Mus musculus: one gene and its partner. The protein of the gene in region 1 purifies or fractionates together with the protein of each later gene. This does not show direct contact. Links are inferred from orthologs where the notes say so. Each region holds a gene or a part of one and is shown in the gene's direction. Other genes may lie near its edges.

Region 1 (4,306 bases):
AGCCATGGCTATACAGAGAAACCCTGTCTCAAAAAACCAAAAAAACAAAAAACAAAACAAACAAACAAACAAACAAACCAGGGGGGGTGGGAATCCTTTTTAATGGTGATGGAGACTGAACCCAGAACCTGAACGGTTGTAGACAATTGTTCTGCCAGCCAGCTCTAACTTCAGCCCTTATTCACTGTTGTTTTGAGTCTCACTGTATAGCCCAGGCTCGTTTGTCCCCCCCCCCCCCTCACCCCCCGACTTGGGATTACATTTGTGTTATCACCAAGACTGCTTTCTTGTTCTTGCTTTCTAGTTTAAGACAAGCTCTCAGGCGTCCCTTCCCTTTCTGCTCTGAAACTGGATCTTATGTAGCTCAGGCTGGCCCGAAGTCCCTACGTCCCAAAGACATCTGATTCTTCCTGTCTCCACCTCCTGAGTGCTGGGACCCAGAGCTTTGTGCAACCAACTGTGCTACATCCCTTGCACCCGTACAGACCTTTTTACTCAAGCTTTTTCCAGCCGGGGAATGTCCGTTTCAGGGTACAAAATTGGCTTGTGCCTCATTCTTCCTATGGCGCCGCTGGGAGTCTTCTACCCTGAGCTATTTCTGGTCCACTTGCTTGCACAAGCTCTAGTATGAGGCGCGCCGCCAGAGTTATTTATTCGTCTGTTTCGGGACGGTGGGCCGGTTCCCTCTCTGCACTCAGACATTTGCTAAACTCCAGGGAGAAAGTGCAAATACTCAGGCTGGGCAATGGTGTCGGAAAGGTAAAGAAGGACTGCAGAGCCCAGCGTTGCATTTGTTGGGTATCTCGGGGGGGGGAGACCGCGGTGCATTGGCGGCCTCAGCAGACGCCTCCACAAGGAGGAGAGTGGAAGCAGATGGCCAGGCTAAATTGTAAATCTTAACATCTACTTCAGTCAGTCTTTCGACCACTATCAAATGTGAAATAAATAAATAAATAAATAAATAAATAAATAAATAAATAAATAAAACGCAAAACTCTGCCAAGTTACACCATTCCGCAGCTAACAGCCTGAGGAAGCCCCCGCTGCCGCCCCGCCCACCGCCCGGCCCCTCCCACCGCCCGGGCCGGCCCCGCCCCTAGCCTTGCGGGCGTCTGTGGGTCTGCAGCCGCAGGGTCATGGGTGGGGACAGCTCAGGCCCTTTCAATTCCGGAACCGGCGCACGCCTCAGGACCTGAGTCACCAACTGTCACCAGGGGCCGGAAGTCACCACCAACTCTCACGGCTGGGAAAAGGTTTCCTGTGAGCCTGCGGGTGCTCGCGGACTACGACTCCCAGCATGCTCTGCGGCAGCCGCACTTAACCCTTCAGGGACAGGAGCTGCCCTGAGTCCCGCCCCCCACCTGCCCCTTCCTCGGACCCGGCAAGGTGAGTTTTGAGGGGCTGGGAGGGTCTTTTTCCTCTCTAGGGCTTAGGAGTGAGTGAAAGTGAGGGAAACGGGCGTTTTGTTTAGGAAGGATTCTTTATTTTCCAAAAATGGGACAATTTGCAGTAAAAAGATTCTGACGCCCTTTTGCAAATGGGAGACCCACTGCTACTCTGCGAACTCCAGGGCCTAAGTGGAATGACCAGTCTCTCAGAATGCCATGTAATTCTTCTTTATCCAAGAACAGAGTAGCCAGAACCTCCTAGCTCCCAAACATCATCTTTTCCCTTCATCAGCGCTTCCAGCAAGGTTTGTGACTCAAAGCTCAGCTAAGGTTTTTGATGTGATCCTGACCAATGGTGTGTCCGTGTGGATACCTATGAACTCCTTTGGAGGTCCTGTAACCTTTTGGGTTATTAGGGGGCTCTTTGTCTCCCAGGGCCCCCTCCATGTGTGTGTGTGTGTGTGTGTTCCCTCCATGCTCACTAGGCATTATAGCCTTTTGTTTGATTTGAATAACATTGTCTTGTTGAAAAATGTTCCTTCTTTGGAATTATGTGTGACAGATGTTAAGCCTTGCCTACACTGGAACCCCTAAACCAACATTAGGTATAGAAGTCAGTGGGTAATAACACGCTCGAGTTACTGTGCATAGTTTAAGGTTGGGGGTAGGTGGGGGCCCAGGGATTACAAGTTCTAAGGATACGGGAAAAGACAGAAGGGAGTGCAAAGGCCTCCTCTCACCTTTTACTGTTTCCAGAACAGATTTTAAAACTTCCCACCTGATACCAGCCCCCCACCCCTCTACCCCGACTCCACCCCAAGCCCTTGCTTTGCTTGGGCTTTCCCACGGTCTAAAACTAATGCAAGTTTTTGTTTGTTTTTCTACTTTAGTTTTCTTCTTTCTCCCCTTAGCTCCTATCTCAGAATCACTGGCAAACATCCTATCTTCACCCTGGAGGTTAACAATCCCTATTCTGACAGGTCTCGTGTTTCTTCTCTGTACCCTTAAAGAAAACATTCTATTCAGCTGTAGGAGAGTGGTATCAGAGGGAAGAAAACTTTGGGGGCAGGAGTCCTGAACCATAGGAGGCCAGGGGAGTGAGGGCAGACAGGCATAAGTCTCTTCCCCCTCACCCTTGCCAACTGGCTCCCTGTCCCTGCTGCTGCCCCCGCCCCTTGACATCCCAGACTCCCTGCCTATTTAAACAGAGATGGGTGCCCCCATCAGCACATTGTTCTTTGGCCACCTGACATCATGCCTCCCAAGAAGGATGCTCCCGTGAAGAAACCAGCAGGGCCCTCCATCTCTAAGCCTGCTGCCAAGTCTACACCAGGGACCCCTCTAGCCAAGGCCAAGGCTGAGCCGGCTGCCCCCCAGGCACCTGCAAAATCCCAGGAGCCCCCTGTTGATCTCTCCAAAGTGGTGGTGAGTCCTGGGGAAGTGTGAATCTGGAAGGGATAGTTCAGAGATGCGGTGCAGCCTTGGGTATCCGGGAATATGTGGAAAGGATAGGGAATGAATGAACGCTGGAATGAGGTTGGGGCTCCCAGGTCAGGCCAGTTTCCGAAGTGAAGGGAGAGGGGTGCTGTCTGCCTCTGGCTCTTCTGTTCAACTCAGAAGGCTACATCTCTGAACCCCAGGAGGGGAGACTGAAGAGGGCAGGCTTGTTAGACAATCACAGCTGGGGGCAGGGGTAAATTTAGCCTTTGTTCAGCCCCCAGTTATGTGAGGGATGCAGGACTCGGGGTAGCAGGAGGGAAGGGAACAGGTGGCATGGGATTAACCCTGTTCCCAAGAAACCCTCCCCCTGTAATTCCTCTTGGGATTCTCCCAAGGCCCAGAGCTGGGGACAGGACTGAAGTGGCCCGGCTCCCCGCCTTCATCCCTTTGGGTCCCTCCCCAGAAGTGGCTGCCAGTTGGTTGTGATAGAGAGGGACTGAATAAGCCCTGTCATCTCCTCACCTGCCCTTTTTGTCCCCTACAGATCGAGTTTAACAAGGACCAGCTGGAGGGTGAGGAGAAGCCCATTTCCTAAGCCCCATTGTCAAACCCCAAACTCCTGGTCAGATTCTCTGTTCTAACGACAGTCCTGACCTTGAAACCTCCCACACTTGTCCTGTTCTCCTCCCTCCCATGCCTGGCTCTAGCACATGAATTTCTGAAGCAAACCTCCCTCTCTCTGTTGGTGATGGGGATCCTTGGTCACACTGCCTTCTCCTTACATCTCAGAATTCAGAGAGGCCTTTGAGCTGTTTGACCGAGTAGGTGATGGCAAGATCCTGTACAGCCAGTGTGGGGACCTGATGAGGGCCCTGGGCCAGAACCCTACCAACGCCGAGGTGCTCAAGGTCCTGGGGAACCCCAAAAACGAGGGTGAGAGGAGCCTTGAGTTTTGTGGGGGTTTCTGTTTTCTTCTTGGTGTTGAACGTTGAATACAGGGTTCTGCCTGGGCCATTGAGCTACATTTCTAGCCAGCAACTTTCTCTTCTTCCTCTTTTTCTTCTCTCTCTCTCTCTCTTTCTTTCAAGATAGGATTTCAGTATCCCAGCCAAGAATGACCTTACATTCTGATTCTCCTATCTCCACCTCTTGCTACTGCCCACTAGAGTGGTGGGATTACTCCAGTTTATGTAGTGCTGGGTTGAATCCAGGGCCTCAGGCAAGCCAGGCAAGCCCTTATTACAGAGGTACTGTTTTTTTTTACTTTTTGAGACAGGTGCTCACCAAATTACTCAGGTTGGCCAGGGACCTACAGTTCTATCCCAGCAGCCCCAATCCCCAGTTTTCTTTTTCTTTTTAAATTTTAATTATTATTATTGTTGTTTAGATAGTGTTGTTACTACCACCACTACTACTACTATTACTACTACATAGGGTGTCTCTATATAGCCCTGCTTAGCCTGGAACTCATTGTATAG
Region 2 (3,808 bases), on another chromosome or scaffold:
AGAATGTGGAAGGAAAGTGTGAAGATTGCCTTTGGATAGTGAGCCTCAGTCTACAGTGGCCTGTGCTGAACAGTGCAGCCTTGCAAGTCAGTACCAGCACCGTCCTGACCTTAGTAAGGCAGCAGAAGGCGGCAGGGAGCAGGGCTCAGCACACAGAACTGTTTGAACTGAACCTTCCAGATGTCCCTCAAGTCAGTTAGGGTCTGTGGGAGGAAATTTAAGAGATTTTATTTATATATATATTTTTATTTTTAGTAATATTCTGAAAACTATTCCAAGTGGTTCAGAGCTTTTCAGACAGTACCCTAACTCCTGCCTCGGGAGAATATTAGTAATGTCTGTCCCCTTAATGTGTTTACTTTTGTACATTTCTTCTTTTCTGTCTTAGCTGTTCAGGAAGTTTATTCCATCCCTGTGCCCCTCGTTGACATGTTAGGATCTTTCTCAGCTTGTGAGTGTGAGAGCCCTGTGGCTGCTTAACTGCCTGTGCTCTGGGAGGGACAGGCTTGTGGGCAGGGCATGTGGTTCACAGCATTCCACCTAGAGGCGGCACCGGCAGGCAGTAACAGTTCATGTTGCAGAGCAGCCATGGTTACTTAGTAGTCATCAGAGTGGAAGATGTTCTAGAAGAAACTTTGTGTTAGCCGTTTCTGAGTCTGGTACTCAGTGCGTAGTACTTCTTGACCAGGTACCTTAGCAGAAAGGGAGCCTGTTGAATCTGCCTTTCTGAGAATACAGAGGTTTGGTTTGGTTTTTAAGATGAAACTACGTGCGGAGTGTTAAATGTCACATAAACTTTATTATGCTTGTGGATGTGGTATAGCTGTTCCCTGGTCTTTTCTAGAATGCTGTGGTGGGATAGTGGGAGCCAGGACTGTGCGCGCTGACTAAGCAGCCTTTTCTCTTCTTTCAGAGCTGTTGGTAAAACCTGCCTGCTCATCAGTTACACGACCAATGCATTTCCTGGAGAGTACATCCCCACCGTGTGAGTATCCTCCTCGCCTGCGACCAACTTGCCGTGGGAGCGTTAGTGTTTATTTCCCTCTGAATCAGCGACTGAGAGAGAATTGTTAGTGGTTTGGAACTTCAAATTAAAAAATGAGCCAATTAATGTATGATTTCCTCATAGGAGGGAAAAGTCAGTTTCCTGATTGATTCTTAGGAAACAAAAGAAAATGATACCATGAAGTGTATAGGCTGGGGAGTGTAAAGCCCAGAGCTTGAGCACAGCAGTCTGCTGACTTGGCTCTGGGAACTGGTGCACAGTGTTGCATTAGAGGTAGCTGACCCTCTGCCAAGTTATCAGGTGGTTCCATGTCACACTGAGAGCTGTAGAGTTGGGCTAGGGTATGGATTCAGGGCTGCTGATTGTGTATGGGCAGCCCCACTGGGTGGGAAGAACAAGTGCTTTTCTCACTGATGGCTTGCTGGAGCCTCATTGTGCTACACACATTGTGCTGTCCTCTGTCTGCAGCCAGTGCACCCTTGGAGGCTCGCCTTGGGGAGACCAATGGGCTTCACCATAGAGCCGAGGCTGACTTTGCACTCTTACCTTGCCTTCCAATACACATCACTCCACCATCCTTATAAAGGTTGCTTTGCTCAGTACAGTCTGTAAGTCACACTAGCTTAAACTTGACTTTTACACTAAGAGCCCCTGTTTTTAAGTACTACAAATAATAAGACAAAAACCAGTGAAACAAAAAGCCCCTTTCTGGGGCTGGAGAGATGGCTCAGCGGGTAAGAGCACTGACTGCTCTTCCAAAGGTCCTGAGTTCAAATCCCAGCAACCACATGGTGGTTCACAGCCATCTGTAATGAGATCTGATGCCCTCCTGTGGCGCATCTGAAGACAGCTACAGTGTACTTACATATAATAAATAAATAAATCTTTTAAAAAAAAAGCTCCTTTTGCCTTAAAATCCATGTTTTAAGATGCTAGTCTTGGGCTGGAGAAATGACTCAGTGGCTGAGAACACTGGTTGTTCTTTCAGAGAACCTGGGTTTGGTTCCCAGCACCCATGTGGAAGCTCCACTTTCAAGGGATGTGTTGCCCTCTGTCTTAGTCAGGGTTTCTATTCCTCATAAACATCATGACCAAGAAACAAGTTGGGGAGGAAAGGGTTTATTCAGCTTACACTTCCACATTGCTGTTCATCACCAAAGGAAGTCAGGACTGGAACTCAAACAGGTCAGGGAGCAGGAGCTGATGCAGAGGCCATGGAGGGATGTTACTTACTGGCTTGCTTCCTCTGGCTTGCTCAGCTTGCTTTCTTATAGAACCCAAGACCACCAGCCCAGGGATGGTACCACCCACAATGGGCCTTTCCCCCTTGATCACTAATTGAGAAGATGCCTTATAGCTCGAGCTCATGGAGGCACTTCCCCAACTGAAGCTCCTTTCTCTGTGATAACTCCAGCTGTGTCAAGTTGACACAAAACCAGCCAATACGCTTCTTTTGATTTCCATATGCACCAGATATACATGTGCTATGCATACATACACGCCAACAAAAAAAAAATGACGATATTGTCTTGTTTTAAATTGCAGTGGATTTTTTATTTTTGAGAGATGGTATTGTGTAGCTTAGGCTAGCCTTCAATTCCTGACCTGCTCCATGCTCTTGGTTTTGGTTTGTTTTTTGAAGAGTAGTAATAGCGTAGACTTTTTTGTTGTTCTGAGGTCTGTTTTGTTGCCTGAGAGCAAAGTCTTGCTCTGTAACCTAAAGTGAACTTGGACTCTTATGATCCTCCTGCCTCAGGCTCTTAATGCTGGGATTACAACCCTTTAATGACTTTCCTCTTGCTGATTAGTTGGTAGTCTTTTCTGAGTTGCCTCTTACTAATAACTAATTTGTGTGTAGCAATTCTAGGCTAACGGATGCATTTCTGTGGTCAGGTGCCCTCACTCTGAGAGCCTGGGTGGCTTCTGAAGTTCCAGTGTGCTGCTATTCTGCAGCCCTGGGCCTCAGATCCAGGTGGCTCTGCTGTGTGCGCCAACTGAGCACACCAGCTGAGAGTGAGCAGAATGTGTCAGAGGAACTAGCCAGGTGGGATTGGGAAGAGGGACTCCTCCCAGTTGTCTTTTTCATGCAGAGAAAACACTGTTGATTAAAGGTGGGGTTTGTCTCCTTGTAAGTTAGTAGCCTGACCTTTGTTTCTCCCTGCCTGGTGTGAGTAAGGCTGATGCCCTGTGTCCTCCGGCCTCCAGGGACTTCCCGTACCTCAGCGGTGTTTTCTGGACCAGCAGCAGCCTCTAGGTCCATCCTCTTCCCTCACAGCAGACCTCCTTTGGGAACCTGGGGACTATGACTTAGTCCCTGTTCTGTGGCTAATGTTTCCTTGTCCTCCTGCAGCTTTGACAACTATTCTGCCAATGTTATGGTAGATGGAAAACCAGTGAATCTGGGCCTATGGGACACAGCTGGACAAGAAGATTATGACAGATTGCGTCCCCTCTCCTACCCGCAGACAGTAAGACTCACACTTATTTTTACCATGTATAATTGTTCGGTGTCCAGTGCTCACAGATCTGCTTTTGCTGCTGGGACTGGGGTCTGTGATAACAGTCAGTAAAGTGACCTCCTTTCATGCCAGCCAGAATTTGGAATTTTGAATATTACCACGTTTTCAGCCCTTTTTATTTTATATTCTTTTATTTATTTTCAAGACAACCACACAGAACAGATGCTGTCTTACTTTTGGTTTTGCAAAGCTAGTTAGTCTTAACAGCGATTACTTTGAAAAGCGACTTGTTCTGGGATGGTTTTGCACTGTAAAATCAAATTAAGCAGTTAGATTGGGCATG

The links.
Region 2: the proteins of Myl6b (region 1) and Rac1 purify together in Homo sapiens (affinity purification with mass spectrometry; 3 studies listed by BioGRID and IntAct, with this or other methods). This does not show direct contact. The link is inferred for Mus musculus from reciprocal best matches to the Homo sapiens genes MYL6B and RAC1.

Annotation. Positions count from the first base shown.
Region 1 is NC_000076.6:128,495,708-128,500,013, reverse strand, and holds the start of Myl6b (myosin light chain 6B), read left to right. Parts: upstream 1-1,328; 5' UTR 1,329-1,386; intron 1,387-2,596; 5' UTR 2,597-2,642; coding exon 2,643-2,813; intron 2,814-3,372; coding exon 3,373-3,400; intron 3,401-3,617; coding exon 3,618-3,761; intron 3,762-4,306. UniProt on the Homo sapiens protein: Regulatory light chain of myosin. Does not bind calcium.
Region 2 is NC_000071.6:143,514,335-143,518,142, reverse strand, and holds part of Rac1 (ras-related C3 botulinum toxin substrate 1), read left to right. Parts: intron 1-913; coding exon 914-985; intron 986-3,356; coding exon 3,357-3,474; intron 3,475-3,808. UniProt on the Homo sapiens protein: Plasma membrane-associated small GTPase which cycles between active GTP-bound and inactive GDP-bound states.